Oryzias latipes: one gene and its partners. The main gene of each other region encodes a partner of the protein of the gene in region 2 in a complex. Links are inferred from orthologs where the notes say so. Each region holds a gene or a part of one and is shown on either strand. Other genes may lie near its edges.

The links.
Region 1: the proteins of timm10 (region 2) and timm22 are in contact, whole or in part, in a cryo-EM structure (PDB 7CGP), measured with the Homo sapiens proteins. The link is inferred for Oryzias latipes from reciprocal best matches to the Homo sapiens genes TIMM10 and TIMM22. Residues at the interface, in NP_036588.1 of Homo sapiens: Pro3, Ala6, Gln7, Leu9, Ala10, Ala11, Leu13, Glu14, Val15, Met17, Met18, Ala19, Tyr22, Ser44, Lys45, Gly46, Glu47, Arg53, His62, Glu63, Gly66, Leu69, Thr70, Ser73, Met74; in NP_037469.2 of Homo sapiens: Tyr25, Ser26, Leu28, Leu29, Gln30, Tyr31, Leu32, Val33, Arg40, Leu42, Leu47, Gly48, Glu67, Glu144, Ser145, Tyr146, Gly148, Ser150.
Region 3: the proteins of timm10 (region 2) and agk are in contact, whole or in part, in a cryo-EM structure (PDB 7CGP), measured with the Homo sapiens proteins. The link is inferred for Oryzias latipes from reciprocal best matches to the Homo sapiens genes TIMM10 and AGK. Residues at the interface, in NP_036588.1 of Homo sapiens: Glu40, Glu42, Leu43, Ser44, Lys45, Gly46, Ser48, Arg53; in NP_060708.1 of Homo sapiens: Phe49, Gly50, Asn51, Gln52, Leu53, Ile54, Pro55, Pro56, Val60, Ser91, Gly92, Met93, Asp94, Val95.

The regions. Positions count from the first base shown.
Region 1 is NC_019872.2:20,333,337-20,339,097, reverse strand, and holds the end of timm22 (mitochondrial import inner membrane translocase subunit Tim22), read left to right. Parts: intron 1-3,655; coding exon 3,656-3,728; intron 3,729-3,809; coding exon 3,810-3,886; 3' UTR 3,887-4,272; downstream 4,273-5,761. UniProt on the Homo sapiens protein: Essential core component of the TIM22 complex, a complex that mediates the import and insertion of multi-pass transmembrane proteins into the mitochondrial inner membrane. In the TIM22 complex, it constitutes the voltage-activated and signal-gated channel.
Region 2 is NC_019859.2:27,361,510-27,367,311, forward strand, and holds the start of timm10 (mitochondrial import inner membrane translocase subunit Tim10), read right to left. Parts: upstream 3,437-5,802; 5' UTR 3,319-3,436; coding exon 3,248-3,318; intron 1-3,247. Other genes in the region: uncharacterized protein LOC101170325, read right to left, coding at 4,834-5,144.
Region 3 is NC_019864.2:29,312,908-29,318,560, forward strand, and holds the start of agk (acylglycerol kinase, mitochondrial), read right to left. Parts: upstream 3,883-5,653; 5' UTR 3,677-3,882; coding exon 3,567-3,676; intron 3,479-3,566; coding exon 3,439-3,478; intron 3,364-3,438; coding exon 3,284-3,363; intron 3,201-3,283; coding exon 3,125-3,200; intron 3,032-3,124; coding exon 2,906-3,031; intron 2,822-2,905; coding exon 2,727-2,821; intron 2,651-2,726; coding exon 2,581-2,650; intron 2,445-2,580; coding exon 2,365-2,444; intron 2,286-2,364; coding exon 2,228-2,285; intron 1,595-2,227; coding exon 1,447-1,594; intron 1,368-1,446; coding exon 1,270-1,367; intron 1,201-1,269; coding exon 1,130-1,200; intron 1,035-1,129; coding exon 950-1,034; intron 872-949; coding exon 737-871; 3' UTR 1-736. Other genes in the region: nuclear pore complex protein Nup205, read left to right, coding at 4,262-4,289. UniProt on the Homo sapiens protein: Lipid kinase that can phosphorylate both monoacylglycerol and diacylglycerol to form lysophosphatidic acid (LPA) and phosphatidic acid (PA), respectively. Does not phosphorylate sphingosine. Phosphorylates ceramide.

The DNA of each region.
Region 1 (5,761 bases), on a different chromosome or scaffold from region 2:
AAAAAAAAGTACAGCACACTGTGCAACAACACAAAACAGAACAGGACAATTATGACGTTGTCGTTGGACTGACAATGACCGTTTTTAGCTGATTATTAGTTATCAGACAAGCAATATTTGGTGTAGCTAACGTTTTAAACATATTTGTTGTCTTTTTAAGTTTCCTTTCATCCATTTAAATCAAAAGAACAAGTATTTATCCTTTAAAAACACAGCTAAGCTATTTAGTGCACTAGTATTCTGACAGATTCTGTTTCATAGGATTAAAGTAGTTCAGATTCAAAGCTCTAGAAAGTCTTAAAGTCTAGAATTTCTTGTCAAATCTTCTCCTTTCCTTCTTTTCCTGAATTGTTGTTTTCCAGCTCCTTGTTTGGGGGGTCGACAGCATCAGGGCAGGCTTTGTGTACGGCATTGATGGGTTTTTTAACAGCAAACCCAGGAAACGTCCCATCCCAGAGTTTTAATTTGCACCCAACCAAACTATTGGGAAGTTTCTGTGCGCTTCACCTGGTAGACGAGTGTATAGGTTAAAGCCCAAACAAAATCAGGCAGAAAGGAGAGGCATTCCTGCAAACTCACAAAAGTGAACATTTACTGGAAGGTTTTTGCTCTGAAGCCTCATCATCAGGTAAAAGGACCTAAATGAGGAGCAGATGACCTCTGAAGGGTCATGCAGACCATAAATGAATGCAGCCACATCAACAAATATCTACAGTGTTCATACTATAAAAACAATATTGAAATATGAAATAAACGAAACAAGGGTAAATGACGAGCCCTTTTCAATGGGGATAGCATGAAAAGTAGAGGACGAAGCAATTTGCACTTGTATGATACAAACACGTGAGAATTGTACTCTAAATATATTCTAAACAAACACACATGTTAATATAAAACATGTCATTAAATGTATAAAAATCAATTATAATTTCATTTTTTTTATCATTTTTAACATGTTTTCCTTTAACTGCATGTATGGAGTCTGGTTTTAGGTCACATGACATATGATACTTTAGTTAAAAATAAGAAAAATACTCTGGCAGCAGGTATGTGCCGATTTATCAGTCTGGCTTAAGGTTTCAATCACGGCTTCACCGTCACTTTGTGTGCTTGGTGACATGAGTGCCATCGATATAGAAGAAGGATTAGCATCTATCATTTTCACAACTCTTTGTATTGCCAAAAAAACTATTTTAATAAATTGGAAAAACAAGAAAAATATAAACATAAGTCAACAGAGAAATCTGCTGTTTGATCATATCAGCTTGGAAAAAATGTCAGCCCAAAGCTCAAGTAACTTTGAAAGAATTCGGTCTCTCTGGTCTCCTATGGTTGACTCCATGACTTAAGGGGTGGGGGGCTTGGTTGTCGCTGCTCCTTGCCCTTCTGCCGTGGTTTGGGGTGGGGGTCGGGGCCTCCGGTGCCTGGCGGGGGCGGTGGGGGCTCCGTTGGTCGGGGGGTCGGGTCCGGTGCCTGGGTGGGGCGGGCTGGGGCGCTGCGTGGTCCTCTGGGCTTGGGTGTGCGTGGTGGGGGGTGGGGTGGTGGTCTGGCTTGGCTTGGGGGGGTGGTCCCTTTGCCTGCGCTGGGGGGGGTTGGCGGGGGCCCTGCTCGGGGGGGGGGGGGGGTGCCAGCGGCGCCGGACGGGCTGCCCATCTGCACCTGGGGCTGGGATCGGCCCTTCCCTGGCTCTGGGGCGGGACGGGACAACCCTCTCGGGGCCCCCGGTCGCTCTGGGTGTCATCCGCTTCGGCTGCGGGGTCTGGGGTGGGGTGGGGGGCTTGTCGGCCCTGTCCTGTGGGGGGGCGTTCTGGGGGGGAGGGGGGGCCATTATTGGTACGGGTCGGGGGGGCTAACGGGTCGGGGTCTCCGCTGAGGCAATCAGTGGTTGCCTCGGCCGGTTGGCCTCCTCGGTCCCGTCAAGGCCTGACCAGAGCTCCTCTAGGGCCGGCGTCTGGGGGTGGGGGCCTGGGCTTGCTCCGGGGGGGCGGCGCTCTCTGGCTCCTCTCTCTCTGTGTGGGGTGGGTGGTGCCGGGCCTGGGGTGTCTGCGCCTCCGGGAGTGGGGCCCCTGGGCTGGGTGGCCCTGGCCTCTTTGCTGGGGGACAGCTGTTTGACAGTCTACCAGCTGTCCCCAACTTACCCCCTTCCTCATATAACCTCATATTAGGGTGAGGGGGTGGGGGGGTCTAGCCTGCGATGCACCTTGGGGGGGGGCTACTTGGCAGTGGCCCCCCTCCTATGGTTGCCGTATGGAGTGGGCCCCCCCTCTTTCGGTTTTATTTGCACCTTAGACATGAAGGGTCCTTGGTAGGGGGGGTGCTTGGACATCACTGCAAGCAAGCAGCAGACGTCCTCCTGGCACCCTACCCGCTAATTTTAACCGCACCTTAGACATTTAGGGCCCCTTGGTGGGGAGGGTGAGGGGACATCATTGTGAGTAATCAGGAGATGTCCCCCTAGTGCCCTACTCGCCAATTTTAACTGCACCCTCCTTAGTACACACACCCCTCCCCCTTCAATATATACATTCCAACATAAACACACACACATACACACACACACCCTCTCATACACACATACACGCACACACATTTTGCAAGGAAGGTGGGACCTGGGTCCATCTGTCCCCTACCCCTTCCCTGGTGGGGGGTGCGTGCCCCTTGGCGATGGCGGCCGTGTCCCTTGGGTGTCTGGGGCTGTGGGCGTCCTTCTCCGGTGGGGCCCTGCGTTGGGCTCTTCCGGCGCGGCGGGGGGGCTGCTTTCCTGGCTGGGCTGGGGCGGCGCTCTCTTTCCCTCCGCGCCTCCCTGCTCTCTGGCTCTGGGGGCCTCGCGGCGGTCCTGCTGGCCCTGGCCTGGGTGGCGGTCTTGGTCGCCCGGGGGGCGGTCGTTCCCTGCCTGTTCCCGTGTGGCGTTGGGGGAATTCCGGCTGCCGCCGCTGCTGCGGCGGGGGTCTGGGTGTGGGGGTGGCTGGGCGCTCCTCCTCCTTCTTTTCACATTCCACCATCCATTTTAGAAGAACATAAACACTCACCTGAGCACAGGTGTTAGCTCACTTTGCACTTATAGTTTGCGTGATTGAATGAATGAAAGATTTCACACTAGTTGGTTTAAAGACATAGGTATGCGTTCGTGAACACTATCTGTTTTGTGTACATGTTGACATGTGAACATTTTTTGCAGCTAGCAGGTGTGTTAAGAAAAAAAGAGAAAGAAGAGGAAAGAGAAGAAAAAAGAAGAAAAAAAAATAAAAATAGAATAGAATCAGCTGTTGCAGCTTTAGAAACACCAGACACTGTTTAACCCTTGTGCTATCTTAGGCACTTTAACATTGGGAGTTGGGTCATTCAGACCCCACTATACAGTGCGCCGAACTATTACATGAAATCGTTCCACCTTTATCCACCTTTGTCATGGTAGGGATAAGACGTCAATGGTCATCTTGATAGGATAGCACGAGGGTTACAATGTTGAAGGGATGTTTCTGTACAGAAAGTCCAACAGAGGTTTCAGAGCTCTTTGGTGCCCCCTGCTGGTTTACTCTGAATTTTCCTATTTTAACTTGTAAATAGTTTCTGACTTCTTTTATTTTTCTTTCTGACTTTGGCCTCAAATGAATATTGCATGAACTTTCCTGTTGCGCTTGTGTTTGGTTTGCAGCACAGGGGCAAATCCGACTGGAAGAACGCCGTTTACAGCGGCTGTGTAACCGGAGGTGTCATTGGATTTCGAGGTTTGCAGCTTGTTTTTTTTACTGACCTCTTTGTTCTGTTTTCCTCACTGATGTTAAGTTTTCGTTGTTTTGTTTTTGCAGCCGGGCTGAAGGCTGGAGTTCTTGGATGTGGAGGATTTGCTGCTTTCTCTGCTGCCATCGAATACTATTTACGCTGAGTCATGCTTTGGAAGATGAGGACTTCCCTGCTGCACATGCAGACGCTCACTGAGGACAGTGGGATTGAGACGTTGGGCCGCACCGACAGAAATGAGACTTCTAGTTTCCTTTTATGTGGACTGAAGTGAGGCTTTCCATGTGCAACGGAGCATCCGACAGATTCATCTGGGGATCGGCCAGCAGCGTGTCTGGATGGAGACAAACGTTTCATTGTTTTCACATGGGAACTACAAATATATGTTCATAAACTATTTGTTTAAAAAAATTTTTTTTTTTTTTAAACCAAAGTCATCTATAAAGATGGAAAAAAAATGGAATTAAAACCTTACGGTTGGAAAAGCAGTTAAAAACATTTAATAAACATTAAAGTTGGTTTGCACTGGCTGTGCTGTACTTGCACAACAAACATACTTTTTCTAAAACATACATTTTTGTCAGGATAGGTCTGTGTGGTTACATGATTGCTGCTCTGTTTTTGCTGTGACCTCCTGAGGTTTTTGTCTTCTGGATCCTGACGCTCAGCTGATCCACCCCGGCTCCCAGAGGACGGATGTGGAGCATCGGTTCATCAAACCAGCGCTTCCCAACCCTGGTCCTCGGAGAACACTGTCCTGCACGTCTCTTTTGTTGTTCTTAACGTCACCTGATTCATTTCATTGTCAGCCTCATCAGAAGCCTGTAAATGACAGCAGGTGTGTTTGAACAGAAGAGGATTTCCCAAGAACCAGGTTTGGGAAACACTGGATTGAATGGTTCTATTGTATTTAATTAATAATAATACATTTTATTTAGAAAGAAATGCCCTTTACATTTTGAAAACAAAGAGTTAAATGTTGATTTCTATGTTTTGATAGTTAAAAGGTTTAAATTAAACTTGATTTCTCCGTTTTTAATGCTAAGTTTTTCTTATCTGCTCGAGGAAAACAATCAGTTGTTTAAACTCAAAGATGTTGAATGATCTTTTTAAAATTGCTGTATCAGATTCACCACCAGATGGCGCTCTAATCCACCCTGTGCAGAAAGATGCGTCCTCAAAAAGCTTTTAAAACATGGTGACCCAGTTAGAACCAAAAGATTTAGTGTTGTTCTTCATCACCACCACCATATTACTGAATAGAGTGATTTAGACAACACTACTCTCCATAAAAGTTTAAGAAGTGACAGAATTGAATTGTTCCAGTCAACTTTGTTGAGCATCCCCGTTTCTAAAGATCCAGTTTCAAAACTTAACATTTTTAAGTAAATGAAAAAAATAATTGACCTATTAGACTTAAATAGCCAAATGTTAAGTTTCAGAAAATGCACCTGAACATGATTTCTTTAAAATAGAATTTGAGGAAAAGAAGAAGGTGGTATGGATGCTGTTTAACCCTTTTGCTATCCTAGGCACTTTAACGTTGGGAGTGGGGTCATCTAGACCCACTAGACGGTGCTCTGAACCTTTTTTCTTCAATGATTTGTGATCTTCACTGGTGTCCATGGATTACATGAAATCTTTCCACCTTTGTCACGGTAGCAATGACACATCATTGTGAGGGTGGGGTCATCTAAGATATTACAAGGGTTAATAGATAACGGGGTCAGTTCTTCCTCAGCTTCATCATTTCAGGGAGTTCACTGCGTCATCATTCACTTTTATTTCTGCAAACAGATGTGAAGCATGCAGTAATAAAGGAGGACGAGTCCTCGTGACAGTTTGGGGAGGGTGCTGCTCACATCCAGGACCTCATCTGCTCGTCATCATCTCTGGTCAAGAAGGCCCAGAAATCTGAGTCCTACAGAAAACGGTCTCTCAAAGTTTTGCAGCTGCTTTGAGGAGTCATACAACTGTTTTTTTTTTTTTGGTTCTTCTGACCTTTTGGCGTTGAAGGGGA
Region 2 (5,802 bases):
GTCAGTGAAGAGGATAAATTGGCTTGTGATTCTGTCATTTCTTTACAGGAAGCTTCAGATGCTAATAACAATCTGAAAAACAACAAGTCCCCTGGGAACGACGGAATAACAGCAGAATTTTATAAGCTTTTCTCAAAAATCTTAACCCCATTTTTATTGAATGTTTACACAGAAAGGATCACAAATATGACTCTTCCAGCCAGCATGACTCAGGGGGTTATTTCCCTGATCCCCAAACCCAACAAAGATACTTTGCTAATAGATAACTGGAGACCTATTAGTCTACTTAATAATGGTTATAAAATTGTTGCCACAATGAGAATGAAAAGTGTTGTTGATGCAGTAGTAGATGAGAATCAGTCAGGTTTCATGAAAGACAGATGCATCTCCAACAATCTCATAGATTATTCAGACTCATCAGTGATGATGAAAGCTTCACTCTGCTCCTTGATTTTTGTAAGGCATTTGATACCGTTGAGCATCCTTTTCTATTCTACTGTCTGGAAAAGATTGGTTTTGGGGATTTTTGGGGATATTTGTCTAGTGCTGTTAAAAGCCTCTACGCAAACGGAAATAGTTCTGTTAAGTTGAGTTCTGGCACCACTCGCAGATTCTGTCTCCAGAGAGGAATTAGACAGGGACGTCCTGTCTCTGTGTACCTGTTTCTTCTGGTTGCACAAGTTTTCTGCAGACATATTCAATCGAATAATATTAATGGGATTTCTCTTGCTGGTAAAAACATTCTTATAAGTCAGCTGGCAGATGACACCACATTATTCTTGAAAAACTCCTCACAGGTTGCCAGGGTTCTTCAAGTTATAGATACATTTTCAAAAGCATCTGGACTTTATCTAAACCTAAAGAAATGTGAGTTATTTCCTCTCAATGTGCTCTAACATCCATAAATAGTATAGTAGTCAAAGAAAATGTCACATATTTGGGATTGCAGATAACTAAAGATCAAAAACAAAGAGAACTGAATAACTATATTCTATGATTGCAAAAGCACAAAATCAGTTTAACTGCTGGCTACAAAGAGATCTTTCACCAAAAGGTTGTGCTCTCTTAGCAAAAGCAGAAGGGATTTCCAGACTAGTTTACATTGCTTCCTCACCATCTCTGGACAGTAAAAATGCAAAAAGGATTGATCAGATACTTTTTAATTGTCTTTGGAGAAACAGAATCCACTATGTTCGAAAGTCAGTAGTAATTAATTCATCAAAAGACGGAGAACTTGAATTTCTTGACTTTTCCACTCTAAATAATGTCCTCAAAATTAAATAGTTAAAAAACTTCATTTTGGAATTTCATACCGAAATATATATTTGATAAGTTTGGAGGTCTGTCATTTCTTCTATTATGTTATTTCAAAATAGGGAAAATTCCTTTGAAGCTGTCTAATTTTCATAAGCAGGTTTTATTGGCATGGACTTTGATCTACAAACATAATGTTTCTCCTCATCGCTACTATATTTGGAATAATGCAGATATTCTATACAAAAACAAGAGGATTTTTCTTGAAAATTGGTTTGAAAAGAACATTTTTCTTGTAAATCCACCATGTAACCTGATGTCATCTGTTGAGTTTCTGTCCACCTATAGTCTGCATGTCTCCCCTGCAGAGCTTGCATTGGTTACTGGAGCCATCCCAGGTGCTGTTAGACTTCTGTGGAGCAGTTCTCCTTCAAATACTCCATGTTCTCCTCCCAAATGAACAGAATTGTGGTGTGGAAAGATTTGTTTTTCAGCTGGCAGGAATAATCAAAGTATCCGTTCTCTGTTTCAAAATGAGATTACAACAAAACCGTATGTTATCTCACACTGGAATAGGTTTGGCTGTAGAATTCAGGGGGAAAAGGTTTGGTCCCTGCCCCAAAAGTATGTCATCACCAAGAAAATCAGAGAAAATCAGAGAAATATCTTTCGAAATTCTTCATAAATCTTATCCAGTGAAACACTTCATTACCAAGTTTAAAAAAAAGAAATCTGAAAATAAATTGTTCATTTTGTCATTCCTCACCAGAAACTGTGTCTCATCTTTTTTGGGTTTGCTCCTTCACTCAAGTATTTTGGAAAGATTTGATAGATTTTAAAATCTATGTGAAGATTATAGATTATTTTATGATACCATATTATTTTTGGACATTTTACACATAGGGAAACTTGATGCAGAGAAAATATATGTAGTTAATTTACTTATAATTATGGCTAAATACTTTATACACAAGTGTAAATATGACAACAAAAAAAAACGGTATTTTATGTTTTCCAGAAAGAAATGGCACTGTGTGTAAACAGTATAACAAAAAAGCTGTCATTACAGTTGAAACATGGTCTCTTCTGAAAAAAACAGATTCCTTTGCCTTTATTATTTTTGCTTAACCTGTTTTACATCATCATTATTATCGTTTTTCAATTTTTTTGTTCATTTTCCTGGTGAATGTGAAAATGGTATTTTGCACACTGTGTGGTGGAGTTTTGTGTTTGGTATTTTGTATGTGCATTATTAGTTAATAAAGTTAAAATATAAATAAGTGGGTTAAAGAAAGTGAAATGCATCTGCTGGGAATGAATGAGGAGCCTCCTCTGCTCCCAGGAGGTCCAGCTGCAAACATCAGTAGACACAGAACAACAGCGCTGCCTTTGCTTTGGTCAGCACTAAATTACCGGCATGTTTTCAGGTCAGAGGAAGTCACGCAGGTCCCTTAGGGTGACATTAATGGAAAAAAGCAGCCATTAGAAGCCCTGGGCATGACATAAACAAGAAATACATTTATAAATCTGTATAGATTCGATTGTGGCCAACATTTTAGTAGCATTTTGTGTGCAAAAACAAATATTATGTGCACACTGCTTTTTTGTGTTGTGTGCACAGCTTATATAATAAAAACTTTAATTCCTATAATGTGAGGCTACAACATGTCAATATGTATGCACAAAATGCGAATGTGAGAATACAGAATACTAACTCCTGGCCACAGACGATCAGAATGAGGTGACTTAAAAAAAGATATTCAGGGTTCCGTATGGCTGTAGATTATGGCGAAGCTGTGCTGAAAAAATCCCATTCATTGTTGTGTCCGTCTCATGATGTCAAGCAAAGGCCTAAATGGATCAGGCTGTTTGTCTCTGGCGCTGAAGACCCTCTTTAACACGGCCATGGATGGTGGTCGGGAATGGATGATGGTGCTGCAGAGTGTGTGTCCGCATGCATGTCATATGACGGTACACAGAGATGAAGACCTACCGGTTGTACATGTCCGCCATCATCTCCACCTCCAGCTCCGCCGCCAGCTGCTGCGCTTTCACAGGATCCATTCTCGCCCTCCGTGTCGTTTCACAACCGAGCCCAGCGCCGGTGACCCTCTCCAGCTGGATAACAGCAAGCCGCGATGCTACTGTCACCTTCAAATCCTAACACACGTGTGATGTCGCGTCTGACTTCCGGTATAAATAAAGTTTACTTTAAAAAGGTCGAGTCTAAATCAGCGCGCCCCCCTGTGGATCATATCTGTACTACAGAGCTTTGACCGGACATGAGAACTGGACTTAGGAGCAAAGTCAACTTTTAGGATTCAAATTAATTCCCTTTTCATTTTTACATGGACAACATCCTGTTTAGTTTTGCTGATTATGAAAATAAGCTAAATTCCAAATTCTACTTGATACATTTCCTGATGCTATTAGCAAATGTTCAAACAAAAGTACAGGTGGAGAGGATGTCATTTTTTCAAGCCCCTGAACCGTGTGCATGGGGCCTGCTAGTGCTGTTCAGGTGATAAATGTGCTCCAGGCATGAAGCCTGTTAGAAATGAGGAAATGATACAGCTTAGTTTGTGTTGACGTCCTACGAAGAACTGATGCTTTTCGTACATCTCCCGTGTGTGCAGCACTTCTGTGCAGTCAGTAAGGAGCCGGTGCGTGCACCTCAGACTAGAGAGCGACATTAAGGCACAGCATGAGACCATAACTGCACTTTACTTGCATTATTCTTACAAATAACTTACCATTTCCCCACACACAACAATGGTACCTTCCATTTTCATAATCATAACATCCCTTTAGGTGCCTGTAGGAGCCTCAAGTGAATTGCAAGACAAACCTGAGCTCCCTGTAAGATGTGGCTGCTCCTCTCTCTGCCCCCCCATGGGCACCGACAACCCTAACACTTGCAGCACCCCATCGGGTGAGCCCCCGCACGGGTGCATGTGACTGCAGCATTAACAAAGGGCAAAGGCAGGGAACACCCGGGACAGCACACCAGTCCACTGAAGAACACAACCACACAGACAAACATACACTCGCACTCAAAGGACAATCCAAGAAAGCAATCCTGAAGCTTTTGGACTGTGAGAGGAAGTCAGAGAAGACCAGAGAAGACCCACGCATGAACCAAGAGGACACACAATCTCCACTCAGAAAGAAACCAGCCAGAATTCAAACCAGGACCAACCTCCACAACTTCTGTGCTAGAAAAAAAAGCACAACCATGAAAACTGACTTTTTCTTTTTTTAATAAACTGTACATAAAATATGCCATGTTTTTTTTAAATTCAGCATCAAAACAAAGAGCGGACTCCACAATGCACATTTACTTCCAGCAGCTCAACCGAAAACAACTGAAAATTTTAGTGAAATGTCAAACCTATAGATAAAAAAAGAAAAACAACAGTCAGAACAGGCTTCCTTTAGTAAACTACAGAAACTGACACGTCAGTTTGAACGGTGTGTTTGGAACAGAACGAGGTGACATGTTTTGCTTCGAAAGAGCTTGCAGAAAACCCAACCTAAAAAGAAATCAACGACACATGGCACACAGATCTGAGAATGCTCCTAGGCCTCATCTCCAGTCACATCAATCTCATTCACATCTTCCTCTTCTTCATCTACGGTTACGACCATGCTATTGAGTACAGCTCCACGAGGAGCCCCGTTGTCTGGAGAATATAGCACAACATCGATATCTTCCTCCTCCTCGTCGTCCTCCTCTCTTTGATCAACCAGCAGCACAGTTCTCTGGGGGGTTTGAGGCTGAGAGTTGTGGTCCACGGACACGTTGGACTGGAGAGACGAGCAGTAAGACGCACGTCCATCAGTGGAGACCGGCTGGTCTCCTTTGAAATCTCCACCACAACAGACCCCTCCTGTAAAGATGTTAATTTAAAAAAACACAGAACTACCAGATAGGAAAAATATTTAGAGACACATTAATAAAATAATGACAACATCCCAGCATCCACCTCTCAGGTTCAGCAGACCAGCCAAGCTCATCACTGAGAGGACAAGCATTTTGGGGTTTTCACCCCACGCTAAGAAAATCCCAACATTTGACCAGAATGAGTTGTATCATCTTATCCCAAACTTTTTCCATCACCGACATAAATACTTCGGCATATTGATTAACTCACTGATAACTGCTAAAAAAAAGAGAGAATTGCAGCACCAATGATTTTCTAATGAACACTACTGGCACTCCTAAAACACAACACAGGCTTTTTGATTTTGGCTTAAGGCCCGTACACACCGGGACAAATATTCGCCAGGCGTTATTCGCCAGCGTTTTTCAACACGTTTTTTTGTGTTCACACCCTGGCGATTTTCGCTGATGATGAGCCGAGTGAACATGCAATTTCATTCCCAGACATTAGATGACGCTTAATGTAAAACAGAAATACTCCTGTACACAAGGTGGCGCTGCGCAACTTTACGCTTCTTAAAGTCGCTTTTCACTCAGAAGAAGAGAGCAAGTATTTACGCGCTTGTCAGAATCATACAAAGAAAACATGAATATTTCAAGCACCA
Region 3 (5,653 bases), on a different chromosome or scaffold from region 2:
TCTGGTCCTGGTGGAGACGCTTCTTTACTTTCTGTAAACAGATCTTCTCCAAAAACCAGTCTGATTTGCTCCCAGTCAAGCCAAACATAAAAACAATGTGAGCAGCAGGACAGAAATTTAAAATCAGCTAAGCTGAACTCTTTTTCAGAGCGCTGTCGTTCAGATTTTGCATCCTCACCTTTCCTTGAATAAGCAGGAAAGTGACGTCTGTGCCTTTCTGTGTGCAGATCCCGGTTTAATCCTACAGATTTGCCGTCGACACCATCTGTCGGCTCAGGCCGGCCTCCTCCGGCACAGAGAGACATTCATGAAGCAGTTTTTTTCTTTTTATTTCCTTTTCTGCATCTATTCACTCCTCTTTTCCAGCCTTTTTCCTCTTCAAGGCTAAAGCTTCTCTTTATTTTCATAACAGGCTTAAAGTCTTCAGCTTTAAACCCGTCGTCGGTTACGCTGCTGGAAAAAAAAACTACTTTGAACTGAGTCAAGACGACATGAAAATCGTGTGTCGTTCTGTAAACTTAACATAATTACACGCCTGGAAAAAGCTGAATTTAACTAAAAATGTGAAAGAAAGTGTCTTACATATTGATGTAAAAACAATACAGTTTAAGTTGACATGCTTCACTCTTTTTTTCATCCAGACAGACGTAAAAGGTCCATTTTCAGGCAGTTCTGGTGTTGTTTCTCCTCTCCGCTCCGGCTGCTGTCGCTGCTCTTCGGAGGCTTTTCATCCTCGTCACTGTGGCTGTGAGAGGAGCTGCTCCCGGCGCTCCGCGCTGATGAAAAAACGCAGTTTCCTGGGCAACAGCCTGACCTCCACAGGCATGGCTTCGTACTCCTCGTTGTCGATGTTGAAGAAGCCAGAGACGCCCTGCAGGGGTTTACGCACAAACATTCACATCAAGGAGAAAGAGCTGAGAGAAGAAAGCATTTTTCTGAAATCTCCCACCTCTGGTAGTTTGAGCTGGCAGGCTCCGGCCTCCAGTTTGGTCGAATTTTGTGTGAAAGCTGTCGGATCCGCCTCTTTTTTGCTCCTTTACAATGACAAATCGATGCAAACAGAAACTTTTAAAAACACTTTAGTGGACGCTTTGAACGCAGCTGACTGATAAAAGAGGAAGTTCCTAACCCCACGCTGATGAACTCCCCCACGGTGAAGCTGTCGGGCTCTGCCCGGATCACCATGGAGTCATGGAGGCGCTGCAACGCAAAACAACCAATTTTAACGTGCGAGGGGCGATCTTAGCAGTGATTCAAAGTCACACCCACCCTCTCCACCGGGTTCTTGTTGTGCGTTTGAACGTACAGCTCCACCGTGGCCAGCTGTTGCTCCTCCCACTTCTCCGCCACCTCCACTTTAGGAGGCTCTGAGCAGATGAGCCGGCAGAACACAAATAAATACGACATTACTGTGTGATCTTCTGCAACACAATCACACAAGCTCACCTTTAACCGGGGGGTTCCAGTAGCTTTTTAGTCGGCGCACAATGCGGCGGAGCAGGTTGGGCCTGGGGGGTTTCTGAGGGGGCAGATCGGGGGGTCGGAGACTGGGAGCCAGGTATGAAATTGAAAGTTGTCGGACCAGGGGCCACTCCTGCGAAAAGGCAAAAAAGAAAAAAGCAGGTGTAAACGAAACGGCATCACACTGCAGTGACATAGAACGGTGTCTGTTTGTACTGTTTATGTTGTTTTTTTAAGTGTCACACAATCCTTTGTTTGTCCGCCTTGAACAAACTGAGCCGCTGGGCTCAGAGCAAGAACAGAAACATTTCTCTGATATTTGTTACGTTTAATGACCAAAATGTCAGAGACTGTTCATGAAATCATAATTGATTCATTTCCTTTTATTTTCAAACACCCAATAGTAAAATATCAGGATAAACAGACAAACAAAAAGGAGTGGGTAGAGGAGAAATCGTAATAATTCCCACCATATTCTTATATTTGATACATTTTTACATGTTAAACACTGAATAATTATTCACATAGACACAAAATAATTAAAGGAAAAGAAGCATCAAGGTACCAAAACAGCATCATTAATTCATGAATGTTTTTTTACATTTTCCCATTAAGCTTCTCGTTTTAGAATTTCCAAAATTCCAGTTTGTATTTTTATTTTTACTCTTTCCTCCGTGTTATTTCACAATTCTATTTGTTGGAAACACAGAATAAGGAATACTCCTTTCTTAGTGAAAAAAAAAGGTTTTATGTGAAGAAAATGTACCTTCAGAGTTTGAAACCAGTGCGCTGCGTTTGTCTTCAATGGTCCGAGGTACCAGTATCTGTTTGAAAGTGCATTAATCCATTTATTCGTATGCACGATCAATCGCGTAACCATGGTTACAGCCCAAACAACCATACTTGCTGATTGTGGCGGCCACGTCCCTGAAAGCCCCCCAACGCAGACCCATCAGAGCAAAGACGGGCTGATCTGTCTCTCCCTACAAAAAAAACACACACACGTCAGCACTGCAGCGTAAACTCACAGGGGTTTTTTGTAGGAAATATGAATGCTAAAAAGTAACTTATGCATTAAAATGTACATGTTTTTAACAGGAAAAAAAAATATTTTATTACTTTGATTTGCAGCACATCCAGAGGTACAGTTTCTCCTCTCAGAATCGACAGTGTGGCTGAAGTAATGTCCCTAAAAAGTATGTTTATCACATCAAATACAAGTTCATTTTAAACATTTTAAAAAGAGATTTTTGTTTTCAACTTACTTAACTTTGTTGTCGCTGAGGAGATGAAGACTCGGACTCAGGGAATTGTGAGAACCCAGAGGAATGTACCCAATCGGGACGTTACTAAAACTATCCTGCAGTCAGAAAACATATCTCAGTTTGCATCTTATAAATAAACCTAAAAACATTTATGTAATTACATTATTAGTTTTGCATACTTGATCCGGCCTTCTCAGCAAACCTGTGATGACCTCCTGCAAGGTGCCATCTCCTCCAGCCACGATCAGCATGTCTGTCTGCTCCAACAACTCCATCAGTTTTTTGGCCTGACCTTCATAATCTGTCTGTGGAGGACATGATATGACATTCAGCAAGGCATGATGGGATATTTGAGGATTTCTACCTACCAAAGCCATGTTTACAAAATTCCATCAAACCTTCACTATTTTTATCTCCACACCGGCCAGGTGTAAAATTGGAGCTGCATTCTTTTCGAATAATTTGTTGGCTTTCCTGGAGAAAATTATAACAAATAAATGCATAATTAGTAGGAGGGAAAGGAAGAAATCAGATTTGCATTTTTGACGTCTTCTTACCCGCTGCAAGCTGCAGGATTTAAAATTACAGTTGCTTTCTTTAGTTGCTCCTGTGGGGCAATCTGTTGCCGTCCAAATTCCTAGAATAGCAATAATTATTAGAGGCATACTCACATGAAATAATAATAATAAAAGGACAGTTAGTTCACATTTACCCTGGCCAACTGACAAGCTTCTCTGCGCAGGAGACTGTCGCTAGAAACACATAAAACACAGAATAAAGAAAGAGCTACACACGTGAACCCAGTTTGGATGACATTTTCAAAGATAAATAAAAACTCACCAATGTTTACCATACAACCAATACCCCCCATAGGACAGGACGCACACAGCTAAAGTGGACTTTTTCCAGTGATTCCGTATCGTCTTAAATACTTCTACAACCCGAGCCATGATTATTAATCCCCACAAAAAAACAGTCTACCTCTGTCACATACTCAAAATGCAAAGATTCTGACGATTTAAAGTGTTTTTGTGACAGCGGTCAAAACTCACACTGCGTGGAAGGAGTGGTGTAACAATACAATCGTTCCGTCTAAAACAAGGCGGAAATAATATCTACACATCTAAAGCGGTCGCTTTTTAAATAAAAAATATGAGCTTATTTTTGCATATTACCATTAACTATTAATTAAACAATACAAGTTCACAAAATATGAATATATGTAAGATGTTTTCCTTGATTTCATTTTTGAAATTGTAGTGTTCACACACTTCATTATATACTACAACTCCCACAGGGCACGGTTGCCCAAATCTTTCCGAGGACCCCGCCTGCACTAATAGTACAATCCTATTTTAAAATATTTAATGAATATTTTACAGGAAAAAAATGTGTTTGATTACATAAATTTTAAATGATGAGTGACATAATCAACAAATTAAAAATATATCTTCTGGATTAAACAATTTATCGTGTTAGATTTCAAACGGGCACATGCGCAGCATCTTACGTCCAGGTTTGATCCTGAGCTGATCATGGCGGGGCAGATGGCGGTAAATTTAGGTAAAGACTCTTTTTGAACCTTTGATTACAAATGTGTTTGTTTTAATTATTATTTAGGTGTAGGTTCGTGTAACCTTGTCCGGCGTTTCTGTTGTAGCGCGTTTTTACCCGTTTGAGTCATTCCAAGTATGGCACTGTTTGCTACTTTAGCCTAGCTTCGTTCATCATCATGTCAGGCCAAAGGAAGCTAGTTTGACTCAGGTTCTAGTCAAGTTAAGACAGATCGAGGCCATAAGACAGACTTGTGGCGACCGGGAATGTTCAGTTAATTAAAGTTATAAGAAAATGACAATAATTAAAGTCCATCAATTAAAAAATTCAGTCCAATATTGCGACTTAATTCAATTTGTATTCATGTGAAAATAAACGTCTCATGGATGGATTATATGCCAAAATATGCTGGCAAATTAGTTATGTTCATAATCTCTAAACTAATAAGTTTAAACTCTTGCTATGCATTGAAAAAGGTTTATCAGTTTTTCTGCTCATCAAAATATATAAATATTCAAGTGATCATTCATTATTAATTCTAAATATTAGATAAAGACTCTTGCATTATGGAAACTGAAAGATTCAGGGCAGATAGTTGATAAAATTAGTCATTTTCTCTTCAAACTAAAGCTTTGAGAAGCAAGTGGCTTTTTCTGAAGACCTATATGTTCTGTAAAAAGAAAAGTCTGAGACCGTGACATGTATGTAAGGTTTGTGTTAAAATGAGAGATTCAAGAATGAAATTAATCTGATTGGGCAGGAAGATGTTTGTTTTATTAAACTTGTTATGTTTTTTTAAATCCTACATTAGGGGTGTGTATCTTTTTCTCTGACATGATTTGATACGCTTCTCAATACATGGTCCAGCCCAATACTTTTACCCAAATGGATACAATCTAGATATATTTTACGCTTTTGGCGTTTAAAACCGTAAATTAAAATGTCTTTTAACAGAGAAACGGTTTTTCCCTAACTGGGAATTTTATTTTAAGGGAGAAAAAATCTAAATGTCTTTGATGTAGCAAGTTTAAACATTCTTTTATACTGTTTTTTTTTCTGTGTCTCATTTTAATTTGTTCAGGCATCATTTAAAGGGGAAAAAGGGTTTATCCTATGTTTAGTGCAAACACCTGGCATGCCTTGCTGGGGCCAGTTGGAATAAAGCCAAACTTTATCAGAGAAACAAAGTTTACCTGAAACGGATCATTTACTTCCTGATCGAATTGATCGACTTTTTACCATCTTAATCGTGTTCTTAGCTGTGGTTTTGTGATCCTCTGGGTTTTTTTTTTCATCCCTTTTTTTTTTTTTAACGAAGATTTACTGTCATGATCTCTGAAGGGAGCAGGTAAAAGGAAAAAGATGGATTTTCT